Daphnia pulex: one gene and its partner. The protein of the gene in region 1 binds, or shares a complex with, the protein of each later gene. Links are inferred from orthologs where the notes say so. Each region holds a gene or a part of one and is shown on either strand. Other genes may lie near its edges.

The links. Proteins that work in one complex are often made in the same cells at the same time.
Region 2: GATOR complex protein WDR59-like (region 1) and GATOR complex protein NPRL2-like share a complex: the UniProt entries of both Drosophila melanogaster proteins name them as parts of the GATOR complex. The link is inferred for Daphnia pulex from reciprocal best matches to the Drosophila melanogaster genes Wdr59 and Nprl2.

Annotation. Positions count from the first base shown.
Region 1 is NC_060019.1:12,024,815-12,035,773, reverse strand, and holds GATOR complex protein WDR59-like, read left to right. Parts: upstream 1-1,467; 5' UTR 1,468-1,497; coding exon 1,498-1,508; exon of another isoform or gene 1,509-1,575; intron 1,576-1,794; coding exon 1,795-1,858; intron 1,859-1,937; coding exon 1,938-1,987; intron 1,988-2,105; coding exon 2,106-2,241; intron 2,242-2,302; coding exon 2,303-2,507; intron 2,508-2,576; coding exon 2,577-2,860; intron 2,861-2,974; coding exon 2,975-3,125; intron 3,126-3,189; coding exon 3,190-3,269; intron 3,270-3,342; coding exon 3,343-3,415; intron 3,416-3,490; coding exon 3,491-3,808; intron 3,809-3,901; coding exon 3,902-4,104; intron 4,105-4,169; coding exon 4,170-4,348; intron 4,349-4,432; coding exon 4,433-4,560; intron 4,561-4,641; coding exon 4,642-4,678; intron 4,679-4,751; coding exon 4,752-4,953; intron 4,954-5,058; coding exon 5,059-5,234; intron 5,235-5,321; coding exon 5,322-5,519; intron 5,520-5,594; coding exon 5,595-5,718; intron 5,719-6,128; coding exon of another isoform or gene 6,129-6,169; and 13 more. Other genes in the region: S-phase kinase-associated protein 1-like, read left to right, coding at 1-43, 191-399, 500-676; G-protein coupled receptor Mth2-like, read left to right, coding at 8,102-8,233, 8,309-8,983, 9,056-9,194, 9,265-9,451, 9,519-9,712, 9,816-9,957, 10,058-10,412; cytochrome c oxidase assembly factor 7 homolog, read right to left, coding at 10,518-10,959. UniProt on the Drosophila melanogaster protein: A component of the GATOR complex, which functions as a regulator of the amino acid-sensing branch of the mTORC1 signaling pathway.
Region 2 is NC_060028.1:1,953,955-1,964,577, reverse strand, and holds GATOR complex protein NPRL2-like, read left to right. Parts: upstream 1-4,866; 5' UTR 4,867-5,132; exon of another isoform or gene 5,133-5,210; 5' UTR 5,211-5,253; coding exon 5,254-5,316; intron 5,317-5,388; coding exon 5,389-5,506; intron 5,507-5,576; coding exon 5,577-5,825; intron 5,826-5,896; coding exon 5,897-6,033; intron 6,034-6,091; coding exon 6,092-6,189; intron 6,190-6,255; coding exon 6,256-6,386; intron 6,387-6,470; coding exon 6,471-6,513; intron 6,514-6,578; coding exon 6,579-6,705; intron 6,706-6,831; coding exon 6,832-7,011; 3' UTR 7,012-7,085; downstream 7,086-10,623. UniProt on the Drosophila melanogaster protein: An essential component of the GATOR subcomplex GATOR1 which functions as an inhibitor of the amino acid-sensing branch of the TORC1 signaling pathway.

The sequences.
Region 1 (10,959 bases):
GCCAAGTGTTCAGTAACAATCAAAACAATGCTTGAGGATCTAGGTAATATTTTTCAATAAGCTTAATGTTAATGTAACAAATAAAATCAAAAGTTGCACCACAAAGATATTTATAGGCAAATGCGTCATTATTTTCTTTTCAAATGCTTAAAAAAGGTAACGTTCAATTGAAATTCAATTTTGGTTTTAGGAATGGATGAAGATGACGAAGAAGTTGTTCCTTTACCCAATGTCAATTCTGCTATTCTACGTAAAGTAATTCAGTGGGCAACTTACCACAAAGATGACCCCCCACCACCAGAGGATGATGACAATAAGGAAAAACGTACTGATGATATCTCATCATGGGATGCTGATTTCCTCAAAGTAGATCAAGGAACTCTGTTTGAACTCATCTTGGTAAGTGTTCATTTTCTGATATCACACCTATGAAAACATTCTACAATTGTTTTAAGTTAAAAATGTTAGTGAAATGTAATGTACATATTTTTGTTTTTAGGCTGCCAATTATCTGGATATTAAAGGCTTGCTGGATGTTACTTGCAAGACTGTTGCAAACATGATCAAGGGGAAAACCCCAGAAGAGATTCGCAAGACCTTCAACATCAAGAACGATTTCACCCCTAGTGAGGAAGAGCAAGTACGCAAGGAGAACGAGTGGTGCGAAGAAAAGTAAATTATCTCGACGAAATTTTGTTTTCACATGTTACATGTACCTTTGTATCCAACTTCATGTTTTCAAGCCAAGAATACAATAAATTAAAAAGCAGTTTTAAGTGTATAGTCAAACAAAAGAACAAGTTGTACGAAGTTCCGTAGTGCACTGGTGAATTAACTGTATGTTTTAAAACAGCTCGTGCTTTAGACAACCTCCCGTTTTGCCAATTATAATGTACAAGTTTTGGTTTTTTTGTGTGTGTGTGTGTGTGTGTGTGTCAGTGTGTTGAACACTGCATTATTTTTAGATTTTGTTTCGTTAGATGGTCTCCTGAAAATGAGCATATCAAGAAAAAGATAAAGGGACTCGCGGATTATATCCGGGCTTAGCTACTAGAAATGCTTTGCAAGTTAGACACCATCATTGGTTTTCATAGGTAGATGATAGGCATGATACCTTGACGGCTTGACCATTAATTTTATAATTTTCCCTGCATACGTTTTGTATGCATAATATGTAGTGTTTCTTATAATGTGCATAGATTGCATTTTCTTCGTAGAAATAATTGTTCACGGGAAGTCGGAAGAAAATGTTCACTGGTGCGTGCTGATGGTTGCCGAAAGTCTATTTAAAAATTAACTATAGATTTTAACTTAAAATGATCAGTAGTATTATTATGTAAGGGTCATGAGATGATGAGACATTGATTGAATCACCACTCCGGAATGCGGAAGCATTCTCAATAAGTTCCTTTGAATCGAATCGAATCGATTTGAATTCGAAAAAAAAAAAAAAAAAATCCTTGAATCGTCTGCTACTTGCTTGCGCGTTACGCCCTCATGAATTTTCGGTTCGTCTGTTCTGTTTATATTTTCTTCTTTCAACTTTTTCTATTTCTACTCCTCAATTTAAAAAAAGTAATCAAATAATTAGATTTAATGAAGTTTGTAAATTTAATACTAATTATAATGGAAAAATGGTGTTCTCAAATGGGAATTTTATTCAATAATATAGGCTAAGTCACCTAACTGAGATTTTCTCTACTCTGTCTTTGAAATGACATTATCTTTGTGTTTGTGTTTCAATTTCTGAGCTTTCAGTTTACTTGTTTTTTAATGTCTTCAATTTTTTCTTAGGGAGAAGAAAATGGCAGCCAAATGGAGTAATGAATATGTAGTTGCTGAACATAAGGATCTACAGGTAATAATACTGTTTTAATTTTGTTTTTTTTTACTTTACAAACAAAAATAAATAATAACAAGTGGGTTCTTTCATTTAGGCAAGCACAATGGCTCTTGATAGTTCTGGACAATATGTGCTATTGGCTGGGTAAATAAATTTTTGAATAACTCATTTAATAATTTTGATATGATTGAAGCACTCTTTGACATTCCAATTCATTCATAATTTATTAATTGTTTTTTGTTTTTATATTTTACTCTTCAAGACGAAGGTGCTTAGCAATTGTTGATGTTGACAATCCATCAGTAGTGATAAAGAAGTTTCCTCGTCAAAGCAAATGGGAGGTTGGATCAGCTGAATGGAATCCACACTCACATCTTTCACACCTATGTGCCATATCGGTATTTGTACTACTTCAATGTTGCATTTACCATGCAGATTTTTGAACAGTTTCTGTTATAGAGCAATCAACGAACAGAGATTCTTTCATGGAATTCTATTGACTTCACACCTCTCTATTGTTTACGTTTCCACACGCGTGCAGTCAGCGATTTAAATTGGCATCATTTTGAACCTTATCTCTTGGCTTCCTGTTCAGTTGACACTTATATTAACATATGGGATATTCGAGACCCTCGAAAGCCATGCGTTTCCCTCTCTGCCGTAGGTAAAATAAAATGGGACAAAATTTAGTATAATACAAATAGGATCTGTATAGTCTAAATATTGTTTACAGTTGGAGCTACTCAAGTGCGATGGAACCGCGTTACCAGCCATTTACTAGCAACTGCTCATGAGGGAGACGTTCGACTATGGGACTGGCGGAAAGGGAGTTCCCCCGTGCAATACATTGCGGCACATTTGCACAAAATTCATGGGCTTGACTGGAGTGCTAACCAAGAATATCAGCTTGCTACTTCCAGTCAAGATTGTACTGTTAAATTCTTTGACGTAAACAATCCCCGTGTAGTCGAGAATGCCCTTAGAACCGTGTCTCCGGTTTGGCGAGCGCGATTTACTGTAAATATGACAATTTCTTAATTTTTTTTTTTTTTTTTTAGTTATTTGTGTGTGATAAATCAATAGTTAATAGAACTACTAATTAACGATATTTTTTTTCTTTTGCCTGTATAGCCCTTTGGCGATGGCATGATGACAACACAATTACGACGAGGAGAAAACAGTTTGCTACTTTGGAGTCTATCCGATTTGTCTAATCCGGTTCATTCGTTTCTTGGGAATAACGATCTAGTTCTTGAGTTTGATTGGAAATCTTCCCGTTCCGGTATAATCAAACGTTCAAATTTAAATTTTTGGACTTTGAAATTATTTGATTTTTATATGTTTAGATGACGACGACTATCAACTTATCACCTGGTCAAAAGATCAGAGCTTACGAATTTGGAGAGTGGATGTTAACCTTCAAAAAGTAGGGCGAATTCAAATTTCAATTATTTTTCTGGTTTATGTAAAAAAATATTTAAAAATATTCTTTTTGCCAGTTATGTGGCTATGAACCTGAAAATCAACCACAAATCGTATATGAAGAAAACGAATCGACTTATGACGTTACTGGTGACATAAATTCATTAATTATTAGCATGAAAAATCTGTTTTATATTGTATTATTTAATTATTTAATATGTTCAGCTGTTGACGCAATTTCAACAAAAAGCGACAAAGACATTGAAGTTGGGCTTGAAGTAGTGGAAGAAACCTATTTAGACCTTCACCATAGTTTGGCACCGTCTATAATTGTACCTGACTCGTTACGCCTAGCTGGACATAAAACTGTAGCAGCCTCTATAGCTGCAGCACAAGCTGTACTAACCAACACGTTATCACCAACATCCCATCGGAAAAAGAAGTCTGCGCTGTCAATAAACAGTAGCATCGTCGGAATAGATGCGATTTCTCAACCTGAACATTATTCATTCAACAAGGAAATCGACCAACTTAAGTCATTAGGTAAATTTATGTCCCAAATGAACTATTAGTAATTAACTGAATACGTAAACTTTTCCCTGGAATAAATTTGTGGTTATTTTTCTGTTTCTTCAGGTTCCATTGGTACTGATAACTCTATCAGTGTTTGCGATGTAGACGAGACACAACGAAGCTTAACAACAGTGATTCGCACTGCAAAGCATCAAATAATACTTCATATTTCTATGCCTCCATCGTATCCCGACGGAGCGATTCCAAATTTTCTATTCGGAAAAGGAACGACTATTGACAACAATGCCAGAAGCAAAATGTTAAAAGTATTTCGAGAGAGTTTATTCTTGCGTAACTCAAAAGATTTATTTGACACGGCGGCATTGTACAGGTTTTGAAACAAGCAGCAACTCTATCGTGCCGCAAAGGTCATCCGTCTATAGAGCTCGTGCTACAACAACTTCTAATTTCAGTCGATCAGTTAACACCAATTGATAAGTCAGAAACGGAATCGTCAAAGACCATAACATTGAATGTCAACTCATCAACTACCGGAAATACTCCTTTCAGGTAACATTTAATTCGTATTTAGTTACTTAGATGAAACGTATATTCAATATGCTACTAAACATAATTAACGAATCTGTTTTCTAGGTTACCGCAAACTGGTCTTGGGCATCCTGGTTTCCTACAGAATGGCGGTTTATTTGGTAGTCTAACTCATCATCAAGACCACAATATTCCATACCCTCGGTCATCCGGTGCTCGATTTTGCAGTGCTGGTAATGTCATTAAAACAAAAAACATAAAAATATCCTTCAGCAAACTGCTATATTGATTTGCCCTTGTTTTATTTTATACAGGTATGCTGATTTGTTTTGGTCGACCATCCTATTTAAGGTTTTTGATTAATTGAAATGATTAATCGTACGACTAGGAATTCATCAGTTCTATTTTATTTATATAATTGAAGGCGTGTGAACAGTAAAACTTCGGACACTTCAACTACACCTCGTTCTCTATCCGTGAACCAAGCTTATTCATCAAACTTGGTACAGCATAGCTTGGTAGCTTCATCAAATACGACTCCTTATGGATTGTTGTATCCGCCCGTTGCTCAAAGTCCGACCGGTGATCCGTCAGTCAGCATCTCGTCTTTTTATAACCAAGACAGGGTAGGCTATACTTGGAAGTATTTCCGTGATTGCTGACATTAGCCTTTTATTAATGAGATAATTCCATTGCTGATTAAATAACAAAATATTTTGTAATTCATTCAGAGACAGAAATCTCGAACTTCTAAGTCGAAAAATAGACTTTCCTCTTATAGCTCGTCTTCAGACGAAAATAAAAGGGGAGCTCAAGAGGCACGTCATCATAAGGTGGTCGGAATGGTGACGATTTACGATGCTTCTGGATTGATGCCACAGCAGTTAGAATTAGCAGAAAGATATGTGTTAGTTTATCTTTTATATATTTTCTTGTATAATAATTCCTTGAATCAGATTTAGTCATAGTTTCATTACATATTTTTATTCACCAGATTTAGCGATACTGATACGGCATGGATGTGCAACCAAAATGCAGCGGTTGCTGCGCAGTTTGGCAGAAAAGATTTGACTTACATTTGGTCGTTGGGTGCCCTTCTGGCAACTCCTACCTTGATACACGAAAATAATACCAATGACCTTGATACCCCATGGGCTCAAAATCCATTCGGCCGGAAGCTTCTTCATGCGATGTATGTATATGTGTATTTATTTGATCTCTTTAGCGTATACTTAAAACAACACACCAACATTATAATTTATTACAGTATCGACCACTACGTGAAATTACGAGATATACAAACTGTAGCCATGTTGTGTTGCGCATTTGGTTACAAATGTGATAGTCAGGAAACTTTCCGGCGTAAAACAACACGATCGGAATCGGGCAGCGTAAGTGTAGAAGCTTATTTTAATTTTTTAACATGAAATCTGGCATTCTGAAACTTGGTATCACGATTAATAGCACTAGAACCGATAAGCAAGGTCTTACGTTTGATTGTTAAAAAGGTGATCGTCGGATTGGCTTTTCTCTCGAGTGTTCTGATCATAAAATCTTTTTTTATTCTAATTTCTTCGTGCTCGGCTTCCGTTTCCTGATTGCAATCTGGTTTCGCCTTCCTTTTTCAGGGGAATAATTGCATTTCAAATTCTTTGTGGTCTGTCCTTTTGTTTTTGGTTTTTTTTTTTTTTTTTTTTTTTTTTAACTAAATTATCTTGCTCCATAATATCGCTACTTCTTTGTCTCAACATGCTCTCTCTAACACTGTGGCTTATTTCCTTGGTGCTGCTGGGATTTTGAGAATGCTGACTGCGGGATATCAATGAGTTTTTTTTCCTACAGCGCAACTTACGGTGGGGTTTAAAGGTAGGCATATATTCCTCTAGATTTTACCCCCACGTAAGTGTGATGGTTTTTTTACATGAAAAATATCTAATCACAATAGTGGAGAATATGAGTTTTCCTATTTTTCCTCGCTTTTTTCTCTTTTAAGCTCTTATGATGAGTGAACTTTAATTATTCTGATGTTCAACATTAGCCAGGAGAATCACCGTATCATACAATACACCCGGGCGACACAACTTTAGATAGCTGGAATGTCTTAAAACAAATACGTTCAAATTCGTGGTCGGATTCACTTGATGATTTTCGTCTTGCAACTCCTGGAATTAACTCTGTCCCAAGTGGTCGCCCTTTGCCAAGTAAGGGCTTCTCCTTAAATTTTTAGAAATGTTATCAATTTTGTCTGAATGGGTTTTTATTTCAGTCGCTTCCATTTTCCTACCCCACTCTGTGACGAGCGTCGTTTCAGTGAATGGGACTGATGGAAGTGAAGAGTATAAAGACAAGGATTTCAGGTTTGAAATTTTTAATAATTTTGAAATTTTGATCGCATTCACATCAAGAGTTTTTATTGTTGTTGAATTTCGTAACTAAGCGTTTTCTTTTCTCAATTTGATTTCAAGATTACTAGATCCGAAATTTAATGGATTATTTGACAACTACCGTCGATGTTATGCTGATATCCTTTATCGCTGGGGACTTCTCGAGGCTCGCGTTTTGGTATGCGGATTAAAAATAATAACTTCTTGGCCGTACTTCTTGAAAACCAATTTTGTCTATTCAAGGTTTTGAAATATTTATCCACTCCCATTGATCCTCATAGAGGCGTGGATTTCGTAACTGAGTGTGTTCCTTGTAGGACTACGGTTAGAGGGCCGCAATGCACCCTTTGCAAGCGTTTGCTTCTCAATTGCGTTATTTGTCGAGTTGTTGTAAAAGGTAACTATCTTAAAACCATCTAGTAAATATCAGTCATGTAATAGCGTTAGAGGTGGCATAATGGTTGAATCATTTATTTTCAGGCTCTGCGAGTTTTTGTCTGGTGTGCGGACACGGTGGTCATGGTAGATGCATGTCGCATTGGTTCACTGAAGAAGACGAATGCCCTACAGGATGTGGTTGCAACTGCTTGTTGGAAAATAACACTGTGTTTTCCGTCTGATAATATATTAAATCGCATTAAATACGTTGAGACAAAGAATACATTTGGTTTACAAAAAACTTTGAAACTATACAAATTTGCTACAAAAGTAAAATTTCCGTTATTCTCAGGTTAAAATGTTAAATTTCTTTTTTATAAGAAACAAACGGAATACTTTTTTAAATATTTTTGCAGAAACAAAAAATATTATTAACAAATTTTTAAAAAAGTCCCGATAGGGATTCTAATTACGTTTCGACCCCAAAGCGTCACTTTATCGTTTCGATTACTTTAAAGTGGTCGGTCAACCCCCTGTGCAGTCCGTGACGTATTCCTAATACACTCATTTATGAACGCTCGTTACAAAAGTTGACGTTTTCCTAGCGAGTGATAAATGAGGTAACGTGTAATCAAATGTTGCTAACCTTTTAGGGGATTGTGGCTTATGATGTATAGAGGATAACGAAATTGGAGTGGGTCACTTCCGAGTGTGTGTCGAAACAAAACGGAACGACGGAGGTTGCGGTTTCTTGAAAAGGATAATTCACTCGTATGCACCAAATTACCGTTTGTCGAAAGTGACACGGCAGTGAGTTGCGACGCTCAAAACTGTCGACTAGTGAATCACGTCAAGTTATCCAAATCGTTCGGGGAAAAATAAAAATCCCTCCTTTCCTAAGGCTGAAATCATAAATGGTAGGTGTTGTCCAATATTTCCTAGTTTAAATTATGACATTTAACAATTATTCAACATGCTTCATTCCATGTCATGCAAAACAGGGAAGTTCATAATGCGGAATTTCAAATCTATTTTGGAAACATTTTACTTTGGTTACGTTTGCTGGATGTTGGTATTATCCAGCTCAGTATCGGCCGTCCACTCCAAGACGCCTTTGACGAAATGCTGTTTGAATTATCAAGCTGTAATTAATAATAATAATATACATTAAAAAAAAAAAAGATTTAAAATTAACAAATAATATCAATACAATCTGCAGTACATGGCGGAATTGGACGTCTGCCGCGATTGGAAAGGCTCCGTAACCCATTCGAAAATGTCCGCGGCCCCGCCCGTTTATTCTGTGGAGAGGAGTGCTGAACCCACTCCCGTCCGCGTTGAATCAAACAGTTTTCAAATGACGCATCGCCTCAAACGCTGCCCAAAAGGCTACGTTGGAATGAGTTCCACGGAATTCAGATTTTACGAGGACGGCTCCATTTTCAGCCAAGACGAACACGTCACTTACCAATCCGGAGACTTTTGCATCCAAGAATCCTTTCCTTCCGGACAGTTGATAGCCCGCTACTGCGTCCGAGATCCGTGCAACCGCACAGACACCTGCATCCGTAAATGCTGTCCAACCTTCAAGGCGTTCGATATTTCCACGACGCGCTGCATCAATTACTCGAGCCAGTTGAACGTGACGCTTTACAATCAAACCGGCTATTCGCTTAACCTGAAATCCGAAGAAATGTTCGTTCGGGACGGAGTAGCTCCACAGTGTAAAGATGGCTACAAGCACAAGCTTCTCAATCAACACGATTACCATCTGAGATCCAACGGTCTATTATTCGTATTCCCCAAAAAACGATGCTCTTCACAGAGTCAGACTGATGTTGACCTAATAACGGATGAATATTGTGTTGATTATTTCATGGACGTTGACGGCACGGTAACTAGATTTGAAAAATACCTGGAATTAATTTTTCCGAATTTTCAATAAGCTTTTGGTGTAATAATGTAGTCCGCTCAACATGCTCTGGTCTGTGTCGCAGCCGATGATACAAATCCTATTTATTCCATCTTCTTGTTCATCTCGTCTTTCTTCCTAGTCGCCACATTCGCCGTCTACGCCCTCATTCCTGAAATTCGAAACATCCACGGTTGAAATATCAATTTATGCGCATTTTGAGTTCCAAAAAATAATCTTGACCATCTATAACACTATAATAGGTGTGGTTATCATGTGCTACGTTGTCTCCCGAGCTGCTGCTTACCTGATTTTTGGCACTCTCCAATTGGTTGGCACAACCCGATCGACTGTCGCTTGCCGAATTATGGCCATCCTGATTCATTTCTCCTACATTTCCACCTACACCTGGCTCAACGTTGTTTGCTTCGACATCTGGTGGACTTTGAAGTAGGAACAATTTCACGACTCTCTCTTGTGTGCACTCCAACTATATATATACATTTGGTTTGTGCAGATCCATGCAACCGTGTAGTTCCGTCAACACGGCCATCCGTCAAAATCAACTGGGCAAACCTTTTTTCGCTTATTCGCTCTATTCGTGGGGTCTGGCGGCCGTCATCGTAACAGTCGGACAGGTTTTAGATTATTACAAGACTTCCGAGGCCGTCATCAGACCCGAATTCGGAGAGGACACCTGCTGGTTTTCAAGTAAAAAATTAAAAAAGAAAAAAAAAAATTGATAATGTGACAGACTGACATTTACAGCTTTTTTAACTGATGACCATGAAAACACTGTGATATCACCCCACAGGTTACGGAGCCATGTTCGCTTACGTGTACGGTCCGGTTTGCGTCTTGATTTTCGTCGATATCATCTTTTTCGTCATGACAAGCATTCTACTTCGACGAGCTGGGATCGGGTCGGGAAATCGCCACTCCCGCGAGAAATACCGGTTGGTCTGCCATCTTTTCTTTTCTTCCCATCAATACATACACCGTCATAAATGTCTTCACTTTTTGGCATGAATCATTTGAATATATTTAATTCAACAGCTTGCGCGTCATTTTCGGCTTGTTCGTCCTGAAAATCGTTTCGTGGTTGGCCGAGTTCGTGGCGTACGCCATCGGCTGTCTCAACGAAGCGGCGTTCGTCATAGACGTCATCGAAACCTCGTCCAGCGTCCTGACTTTCGCCATCTTCGTCTGCAAGCCCAACGTTTGGCGCTTGTTCAAGCAGAAATGCCCTTGCCTGGAACGACTGGAACGCGCTCGCCCGTACAGCGCAAACTACGCCAACCGGAGCAGCAACCAACTGACGGCTTCGACCAACATTTCTTCCAGGGAAATCCTCCACAGCGACTTGATCAAAACCTTATCGCAACGTCGAGAATCTGATAAACCCGTTTAATCCCAGCCGAGACATGTCTGAAATATATACAAACAATTGGCCAGGCCTGTAATACAATTTTGCGAATTATTTTTATTTTTTTGGGACGCGCTACAAACTTGAAATTCAGGTGGTGGCGGGTAATTTGGGGGATTTTTCCGATAACTCCTTGTTGATTTTCAACTGCAACCGGCGGACTTGAAAGGTGTTGGACATTGGACCGTGGGTTTTCATTGGCAAAGCGCCGCTGAGATTAGCGCAGGCGAGTTTATTGCCCAGTTGGCATGCCTTGACGTCGTACTTGTAGGCGGTGGAAACATTCTTCTCCAGCAATCCCGGCACGCCGACCAGATAAGCACCTCCAGCCAGATAACAGCTGTCGTCACAGCCCAAATTGCAGCCTCGATCGAGCATTTCGACGACCAGCAAGTCCGGCTTTTCTTCATCAACAACTTGTCTGACGTTGCCATCCGAAACAATATCCAGGGCGGTGTTCAAACAGGACTTGGCTCGACCCAACTGGCATCCCTTGCGATCGTAGCGAAAGCTCTCGATTGGATCGACGCCA
Region 2 (10,623 bases), on another chromosome or scaffold:
GAGCACGAAGAGGAGGCGCTAAAACAGCCAGCTCTAAACACTCTTCCGCAAGGAGACCAGGCGGTGCAAAAGCTCGCGGAAGCCACCAAGAACCTTGAGTTATTGGTCGAACAGCCACTTGTGTAACTTTTTACATGTCTCTTGTTTGTCTAAATACAAACACTTGTAAAATATAAATAACTTTTTATGTTTTATTTCGATTAAATAAACATGTTGCATTCAGACCGAAAAGGAAGACACGACGAGACCTTTAGCCGGCTGAGACTGCAAAAAAGTGAGGCAGAAAAAGGAAATGAAGAATCTGAAAAAGGGGAAAATGGTAAAAAAAGAACTCCCGAGCCAAGTTGTTGTATTACTTTTCAAATAATTTGATTTGCCTTAAAACAAGAAACCTAGAATGAATCAAGATGATGAAGAATTGTGGAATTGCCCAACGTAAGTTTTTTTTTATTTACGAGTAATTTAAAATAATACCCAAACAATACAATTGTGCAAATACCTATTTCAGGTGTCAAGCTTTCAACAAGAAATGGACTGCTATAGCAGTCCATTTCTGGTAGCAGTTCTAGTTAGCAGTTCTAGTAGTTCTAGTAGCACAATTTTTAAATGAAACATTTACTGTAAGTATTTTATTCTACAACATAAATAATAATTTCAATATAAAAATAACATGTGACAAAAAATTAATTGTATTCTATATTTTAAAGGACTTGGGATTAATAGAGAAAACAATCCTTTGGAAAATGTCCCAAGCCAGCATGATCGACGCATTCCAGCGGGAAAAAAATTCTACGAAGGACTAAAGGAAAAGATAAAGGAAGCCAATCGCATATGTGGTAAGTTTTAACTACATAAAAAAGTGATAGTAGTACTAAAAGATTTCATTTCTTCAGAAATTATAGACAAAATGAAAATAAAACAACCAATTCAACGCTTGGTCTTCTACGATGTGCATAGACCCCACATAGGGCATATATGCCCTATGTGCTTGGAACCAAGTAATACAACTTAAACATTAAATAAATTACTTTCTAAGGCTGACATTCTTTACAGGGCTGGATATGGAGACTTATGAATATGTATCTTGTGACGCAGACTTTGATGTTTTGCCTATTGTTGTTGAGGAGGGAAGTTCTGATGGCGTAGATCCTGAAGAAAATGGTAAAACCTTTTAAAAACTAAATAGTTCATAAGTTCAGTCCCTCCACATCCACTTTTGTCCGATGCAGATGAGGCCATTGAAGTTGCAAATGTCAAGGCTCTTGACAACCCTGATGGTGGAATTGTTGGAGGAGCTGAATGTGATGCTGAAGGAAAGAATGAGGAGGTTGGAGAAGCAGAATCTGGTGAAGCAGACCCTCACATGGGAGAAGCCGTTAAAGAAGTGGAGTACAATGCCAAGGCTGAAGGAGAGAAGGAGTCTGGGGGTGAGAACGGTTAATGCATAGATATTAATATAGAATGATTATAATATTTTATAATTAATAAATAAACAGAGTTAGAGAAATCGGATGTTGCAGGGCCCAGCCGTATGAGGAAACGTCGTTTGACCAAGCGTGGTCCAAAGAATTTTAAAAAAAGTTTAACTTGGTCAAGGATTTTCAAAAGTACTGCAGTGCTTCGGGTAGGTTTTCCACACAAAAAAAACAATTTTTTTTACTGACAATAGATCTTAATTCTAGATACCGACTAAGTCACTGAGTGACACCTAACTATCCTTCAAAACTGTTTACCCTATGTTCCAAAACATTTGTTCTAATTTCATTGCTGCAAATAAAATTCTTTTTGGAAAAATTAAAAATGTTATACCTAGAATTACAGGCAGGTTTTGTTGGCAGACGTGACAGGAGAATTAGTTGCCCCTTATGGCCTTATGAGCATATTTGCAGTCAACGGATGAGTACAAACTAGGCCAAATCCAACATTCTTCACCAAGAACCTTGAGTTATTGGTCGAACAGCCACTTGTCTAACTTTTGTTGTTGTATTTTTATTTATGTGTTTTACTTAACTTACTTGCTACATTGAACATTTTTTTAGGGTGACCAAGGATATGCAAAGAGTGATGCTGTCCACATGAATATTGATGCACTTGAAATTGAATGTGCTACCGGTAACATTGGCTACTTTTGACAATACTGTATGTTGTATTTATATATGTATTCATAATTTGTACTTATTTGTCACATTGAATGTGTCTAGTTCCCAGGTAGCACACAGAGCTGTTACAGACTCATGTAACCGATCTGTTTCACATACTTGTGAAACAGGTCAGTATCAGGCTTGTTACATCTCTGTTTTACAGGAAATTTGTCTGGAATGGCTCTGTTTTACAGGATTTGGTAAAAGTTTGTTTCACAGATCTGGAACAGATCTGTTATCTTTCTGTAATACATAAATCTGGTTTTTAACTGTACTACAGACCTGTTACAGATCTGTTTTTTACTTGAGAAAATTGTTTCTGATTTAGCTCTGTTTCCCATGTTTGTCACTTGTCTGTTTTTACTCTGTATTTTCGAGTACAATATGTTTCTGTTCTGTGTCTGTACTCCAGGTCTGGTACGGGTCTGTATTTCCCTTGTAAGACATAAGTCAGTTATCATCTGTTCAGAGTCTGTACCCCAGGTATGGTACAGGTCTGTATTTTCTATGTAAAACTGAGTTCAATGATTATCTGTTCTGTGTTTGTACCCCAGGTATGGTACAGGTCTGTATTTTCTATGTAAAACTTAGTTCAGTGATTATCTGTTCTGTGTTTGTGCCCCAGGTATGTACGGGTCTTTATTTCCCTTGTAACACCTATAAGTCAGTAATCATCGTATCTGTGTCTGTATCCCAAGTATGGTACATGTTTGGATCCCAATGGAAAACTGAATTAAACGTTTCTTATATGTGTAATATCACTGCAATACCATGCAGTAAGAAGTTACACTCTAATAGTCAATGCAGCTAATGGCTATGAGTTTAGTTCAGTAGGCCTACTCGAACAACAACAATAGTTGTTTATCCACCGGACGGAGAAGTATTATTATACATAAATAGGTATAATAAAGACTTGTAATTGGTGTGGGGCCAATCTTGGTCTTGTTACTATCGGAAGAGACCAGTGGTAGTCATATGTAGCAATCAGTTTCGTGAGAGAGACATGTCAGACTGTTTGTTGAATGAACAAGTGTACAACTGTGAAATATACATCATTATGAAATATATCTAGAACATAATATCGAGTTATGGTGTAGTGGTTAGCGTACTGGCTTGTGAACTCAGAGGTTGATAGTTCGATTCCAGAAGGAGGCAAATCTTTTTTTTTCTTGAAAATCTGTTTTTGGTCTGTAAATCGTGATCCCGTTTTACGGATCTGTCACAGACCTGTATGACAGTCTGTAAAAGTGTGCCACTCCAAACAATTTACAGACTCTCAAAAACAGATCTGAAACAGACCTGAAACAGAGTCTGTGTGCTACCTGGGTTGGACTTTGCTGAAACTAATGATGCTGTCCACCCAACCTCTGACGCTACAGCAGTGGTAATTAATCATTTCAACTATTTTGGTTCCTGAATTAAACCTAATCTAACCTTTAATAATAATGTTGTTATTTCTATTTTATTTAGGTGGACCAAGGATCTGCAAATGGTGATGCTGTCTACGTGACTGTTGATGCACCTGAAATTGAAGATGTACCGGTAACATCAGATACTTTTGACAATAAGGTATGTTGTATTTCTGTATTCATAATTTGTACTTATTTTTCACATTGAATGTGTCTTTAGTTGGACTTTGCTGAAACTAATGATGCTGTCCACCCAATTTCTGACGCTACAGCAATTAAAGTTGAATTGGTAATTAATCATTTCAACTATTTTGGTTTCTGAATTAAACCAAAAAAAGTTCCCGAATCATCGATGAAGCTATTACGCCCATAGTGTAAGTGGTTATTGCCCAGACCAGACCCATATGACTGACCAAAGCATCGTAGCAATTGCAACGAGACTGCCAATAGCCATGAGGAGTGAAAGCTGTCATCTTCATCGACACTTCGGCCACAAAAACGAAGCTCAAACAAGAGCTGATAGTGACACTGGGACATTTTTTAGTCGAGATAAAGTTGCAGCGGCAACAAAAAATGTCCCCCTTGTGGGTGTGTTATAAATCATTTGGTAAAACTGGAAAAAGGGTATTTTTTTCTTATTCCAATAACTTTTTTGCTGTGTTACTTTTGATAAATGTAATTGAAAAAAGTAAAGAAGGATAAACGGGCTTCAAAATAAGACTAAGTGGGGATTTTCGGGTGTTTTTTTTTCTTATGTAGTATGAATTTTTAGTTTTGGGATTCCGCCATAAGCGCCGTGTTAAACACGGCGAAAAAATTTCTTAAATAAAAAACAATGTGTATAACTAATAAATTCATGAAAAAATAGTAAATGTCAATCAAATTGATTCAAATTTGCAACACATGTTTATTGATAGATAAACTATGATTACATGTATTAAACATTTATAAATCGTTATAATTATACCCCTAATTCCCAATTACAAATTTTCATTTACATTTTTTTAAACGATCCAAATGGTCGCTTTTGTCCTCCTTCATTGGTAATTAAAGAAAAAAAATTAGAAATAGTGTTCATGAAAAATTTCTAATTAAAATTTGTTCTAGGTATACTCGTATATTTTTCAGCTAAAATGACTGGACTACTTGGCCCTTGGTCCCGCCCCTGCCAAGCCCAATCTCCGGTCGTAATCAAACAGTTCAAATTCAAATTTTCGTTTTCGTAAATTTTTAGTGCTGCCCCTCCCGCCCCAGCCCAACTTCGGTCGTAAACTCGTAATCAAACAGTTTGTGATGAAAGACGATAAGATTGTCGCTACGCGGCGCTGACGTTGATGTTTATGTTTATGTGTAATCTGAGAGGCAGAAAATGGTCATTTCTTAGACACTTTTCCAGGTCCGATTAATCAGCGAATATTGCAAACTAATCAAATTCAAGTGCCTTGGACCTAAATCACTATAACTTCGTTACTTGAAAAATTTCCCTGTAAATAAGTGATGGCTTGAAATGGTGGCGTTTCTGTAAACAAGACCTCACATGGCGCTTCAGACGGTAGCCTAAATCAAATAAAGGGGCGATTTTGTGTGTTCCTTATCATTTTAACTAATTTTTTTGATTTTTAATGTGAATTACTCATGTTAAAGAAATCCTTTTTCATAGGTTGACTATCCAAGTGATATAGTCGAGTAAATCAAATAGAAAAATGATCAAAGCAATATTTTTTTCCGAGTTTCATCCTACGTTGGGGCCCAAAATCAGTTACCAGGTAATGGTGTAGTGGTGTGTAAAATAAAGTAATTTTGTTGTTTCAGTGCTTTGTCTTAATATCGATTAAAAGGTGCCAGAGGATTATGTTTCCAAAGAAATATTTGATGCAGTTAGTGTTTACATCATTCCTAAAGAGCAGCTGGACAGTTGTATCATTACAGTGAATGTACTAGGGCACAAGATAACAGGTTTTTATTCAAGAATTCTAACAGTCCAAGTATTTTGACTCATTACCATCCTTTTTTCTAAAACCTACAGGATATCCAGTGCGCATTTCAGATGAAAAATACCCACGTAACTTTCTCATTTTCAACTTGTGCTTTGTGTGTGACTCTGATGCCAGAACAGTGCAGTATGAGCTTGTAGTTAGGAAATTAGCTGAGCATTTGGTCACCCTGGAAGTTGAACAGAATTTTTTATCCACTGAATCCAACAGGGCCAAGTTGCCCAAAATTTTAGGTCAAATTCTAAGTGATCTCAATCGGGGTGGCTTGTGCACAGTTACAGGTAGGTACATGAAGATTCTCATTTTTTGTCTAACATTTCCGTTTCCGACATTTACAAATTGATTTGATCAGTTGGGACCTCAACACTGCACTTAAAAGTGATCCAAGTAGCTGCTGAGCCACCCCTGGTATTTGACCACCACGTTCCCGTGTTCACGTCAGAATTTTCTCCTTTAAAACAAGACTATTGGGACCTAACAACCAAACAGGTAAACGAAAATGATTCTCTTATTTTATTCATTTTAATAACCCTTTTTCGTGCGTAAGGTACTGCCATACATTGATGGACGCAGCCATGTCGCTAGAGTGGCAATCGAGGCCGACGTGGACATTGGTTTGGTCAAAGCCTGCATTCAAAATCTCTTGTAAGTCAATTGATATAGTAGTCAAGTGCTGTCCTTCTCTTGACCTTATTTTCTCTTTTCGGTTAGATATTACGGCGTCGTCCAGCTCATTCCCATCTTCCAGTACAGCAACATGTACGCCGCTACACCCAAACTCCGAGAACTGCCCATGAATTCAGATTTGAGTCGAGAGTGCATCGCTTTTGTTGCCAAATCTGGTAGAGAAGAATACCAAGTGTCTTGTTATCATCTTATCCACTTTTCAAGTTGACTGTGAATTTCTTCTCTCGTTTATATTACAGATAGACATCCTCCTTCCTTCCGAGATGTTTTCCAAATGTACTGGTGAGTTTATCCTCTAATTCTTATCAAATCCCCCCTAAATGAATTCATTTTGTAATCGATGACAGTGGGATGACGTACGGGACTACCATAAGAGACCTGTGCTTGCGCTTCAATCCGCACGCGCTTCGCATCGACGAACATCGGCTAGTCCAGTTTGGCGTCCTGCAGGGCATCATCCGCCGCATTTGCAAGGTTAGCGAGTGTGCGCTGTTGATTAATCCAATTGATTATTTCGATTTCTTCCTGGACGTCGGTTCTCGAATAACCCATTTCCCATTGAACTGATAACTCAATTTGCACGCTGTTTGAATGGGCTAGTATCCGGTGTACAAACCGGAGACGCAGCGCGGATCGCACAAGAAACAGATGACCTCGTTGCATCGGCTGTGCACTGGAGTGGCCTCTTACGACGAGATCTGCTGCCGCACCGGACTGTCCTACCACGAACTGGACGACAAAATCGAAGCCGATGTCGACATCTGCGTCCTGTGGAAGTGAAATCCGTTCCCTCCGACCCCATATCTTTTTGTATCATTTGATTTAAGTTTCAATAATAAATTTTATAATGGCCACTTTTTTTTTCTTTTCGATTGTGGAGGAGCAGCAAGTTCAACGGTCGTTGGTGAGGATCACCTTGCACGTCTTTCCCCATCGTTTGCAATCGGATCCGTCTTGATTGCACACACACACAACCCACCAAGTCCTCTCGATCCTCCGTTGTTATCACGCCACTTGGGATGGTGGTGCTGCCCCGGTGTCGAGAGATGAACGGGAACGCCCGCCTTCGTGTTTGGCGATTCGTTAGGAGTCATTGCTGGCTTCCCACCGTCTTGAAAGTCGAGCGAGTTATATAGTAGAATGCCTGTGGAATTTATTTTTTTACCGTTTCCCCTTGCGCTAGACAAGGTGGGGGGCACTCACGCGGGCGAGTTATATTTCCAGCAGCCGTATAGAGAGCGCGGGCTGGAAGGTACACCAGTAAATCTGTCGGCTAGTTGACAATCTTTTCGGCTGTTAAAACGGCGGGGGGAAAAATAGACGAAAAAAGAAACAAAACAAACAATAAAGAAAATAGAAGCCCCCACACACACACCCCACACAAAAATGGGACTGAACTTCCCACCAGCGTAGTAGCTATGCCACATTGGCCGCCACCCAAAAAAACAAAAAACCCTAATAAGATTTACACGCATCAACATGGCGACGGGAGGCCAGAGAATTTTTTTTTTTTCTTTTTACAAATAACACGAAAAGAAAAGATAAAAGCCTCTCTTGCTACTGTTTCTTTCAAAGTAGCTCCCAAAAAGATACATAAGAGCGTCGCCAGGCTAGCTGCTGTTTAACAACATATTTTTTTGTGTTTCCTTTTTTTTTTTTAGAAAAACCCCAACCAAGAAGTTTATGCTGATAAGGAGTCGACAAGCTTGTCGACAAGTGTTGTTAAACCGACGCACACGGTCACCCACCACTTGGGCCTATCTCAATGGGGGCTGCTGCTGCTACTCTCCTACACACGGACACTTCTCAAAGCGTAAATATGTTTTTGTTTGGCGATTCAACTCTTTTTAATTATTTACTATGTACACATAATTGAATTGGTTTAATTATTCTGCATTCAGATATTTGGAATAATAATTATATAGAAAATACTATAGGCTCCGCCAGTTTAATATTACACCCCAACTTCCTGCTGGGCGAACCCGAGAGCCGGCCGATTGGAGCGATTAAATGTCGATCGATTTCCTTAGTAGACGCGATCAACCCTATACGCCGTAGATCTTAAACTGTACATGTGTGATATGCGTAGATATCGAATTTGTCGCTGCTGCTGTGAGGAAATGGTCGATTACACTCGGCTGTTTTTAGCGATGGCTATCAATAATCGACGTCCATTAATAATACGCCGCCATTTTCAGCTTCTAGTCGCCCGATGACTGTGTCGTTTTTCCACAGACTTGGATTACTTTCATCAATCGATCGTTGCACTCCCACCCAACCGCCCACAAATATGCAAATCCGGTCTGAGGGCGCCCAGGAGTTCATAGGGGCCGATAAAAGCACACGCGATATAGTTTTTGCTGGTAGTAAAACCACCAAATCTTTTTTACCAAAACGAGGGACGTGCTAATTTGAAAAAAAGTTTGATGGACGACATTGTGCCTGTCATATTCCACCCTTCCACCCCCCACCCCTCCTTTCAAGACTATTTTCTCGTCTCATTACGCAGGCGCGCAACCCGTTCGTATTCCTTCCCTAGCTGATTGTTTTCTTCTTCCTATGTACTAGGAAAAACTCCGATGTCAGCAGCAGCAAACGGCCTGGAGACCCCATGCTGCAGGTCATCATTCTTTTTCTTGTGGCCCCGAGACTTGTGTGTGTTGCTGGTTCCACATAGTCGCGGCCGTTATAACGTCGTGTAGACATAACCCCTGAGCGCGCAGTTTGTGTTAGCTACGGTTACACACAGCAGCAGAGACACACACAAACACATATGGAGTCGAGTTATTTTTTTCTGTGTGTGTCTTATTCGAATGGCAACGAAAAAAAGGAAAATGGAGACCACAACCAGATTGCGTATCCTCTTCTACTTTGTTCGTGCACCCACCACCATCAACACACAGCAGACACAGGTCTCCTTTTTCGCGCCCGGATATGACCTGTCGCGCCATCCTCCTCACCATCGGGTTTTTTCTCTACCCCAAAAACTTCTTTGTCAGCGCTTAACTGGAAGAAGAATCTATTCATCCAACAACTTTTTGACGGATGAATTTCTCGCCCTTAACTTCATTCATTTAAGTCGCGTGTCGTCCATGTACTACGCGGAAGAGGGGGGTGGGGCCTATATAGGCCTGCGGTAATAGGACACTGATTTGTTTATTTGTAATGCGCCGGAGTATATTACATATCCAAAACCGGAAGAGTTTGGTTGTCTAGCCCCAATAATGTTTTTTTAAAATTGAAAAAGGTTATTCACACTTTAATGAAGAAGCTGAACTCGATTTGTTTTCGCTGAACACCTTCTTCTTCTGTACATTATAGTCAGTCGAGTTGAATCTGCTGAAATAGGAGCCGTTGAACTGGCTCCTAGCTGGATATGCCCGTCACTTGATCGCCAATGAAATGCCCAGAGCAGACAGCAGACGAGGCAAAGTCATCGACCACTCGGATTCGGCACGGTAGATGTGCCCGCTGGATGGCGTCGGCCGTAATGAGTTAATTCAATCATCCGTCCATATGAATAATGCCATGGATAAAACAGCACCAACCCCCGCCCATTAAACACGTCAACAACCCAATTGAGAAAAAAAAAGGGTCAGAAAATAAGTTGAACGGCCGTAGTGTCATCTTAGACGGACCGGAATGAGAGACCAGATCTCGCACTCTAACATCATTATAGGAAGTAAATGTAATCAAAATCAAGAGTTGTTGACAGTCGGCGATGATTATGCAAATATCAATCGTCATCATTTGAATGAACGTCGACGTAACAGGCCGCTAAGATGTTGGGAATTAGCAAATTTCCCCATCGTCCAGACGGAGGGAGGGAAATAAATAAAAAAGCGGGCGACGGGCCGGAATGACCGGAATCGAAAGCGACAAGGAGAGACCCACAAATTTTATTCTCTTCCGTCGCGGAGTAAAAAGAAATTCCCGTCGGTCCCAGTTCACAGAAAACGGGGTGGGGTGGGGTGGTGCGCATAATAACATGCAACCAACAAGAGGGGAGGAAGTCGAAGAAGATGTTACGACGGATGATTTACTATTCGACAACTCCGCACTTTAGATAGTATTGACTTCCGACCATTTAAATTATTTACACTCGGCCTATAGACACACACACTTTAACAGTTGTAATAATTTTTCGTACATATACTTTGTGGCGCCAGGAGAATAACAACTCAATCATCAGCTGTTTCTACTTGTTGACCTCCATGGTAGGTCCCCCCCTTCCAAAAAACAAACACAATAACATCATCTCCTATTTTTTTCCAACGATATTGAGACCTTGACTATGCAGGTTTGTTCATGAGGATCGAGTTAAACTCATGTAGTAGAAGTAGTAAGTACTAAGGAGGGTTGTATAGCACGAGGATGACGTTATATATCCAC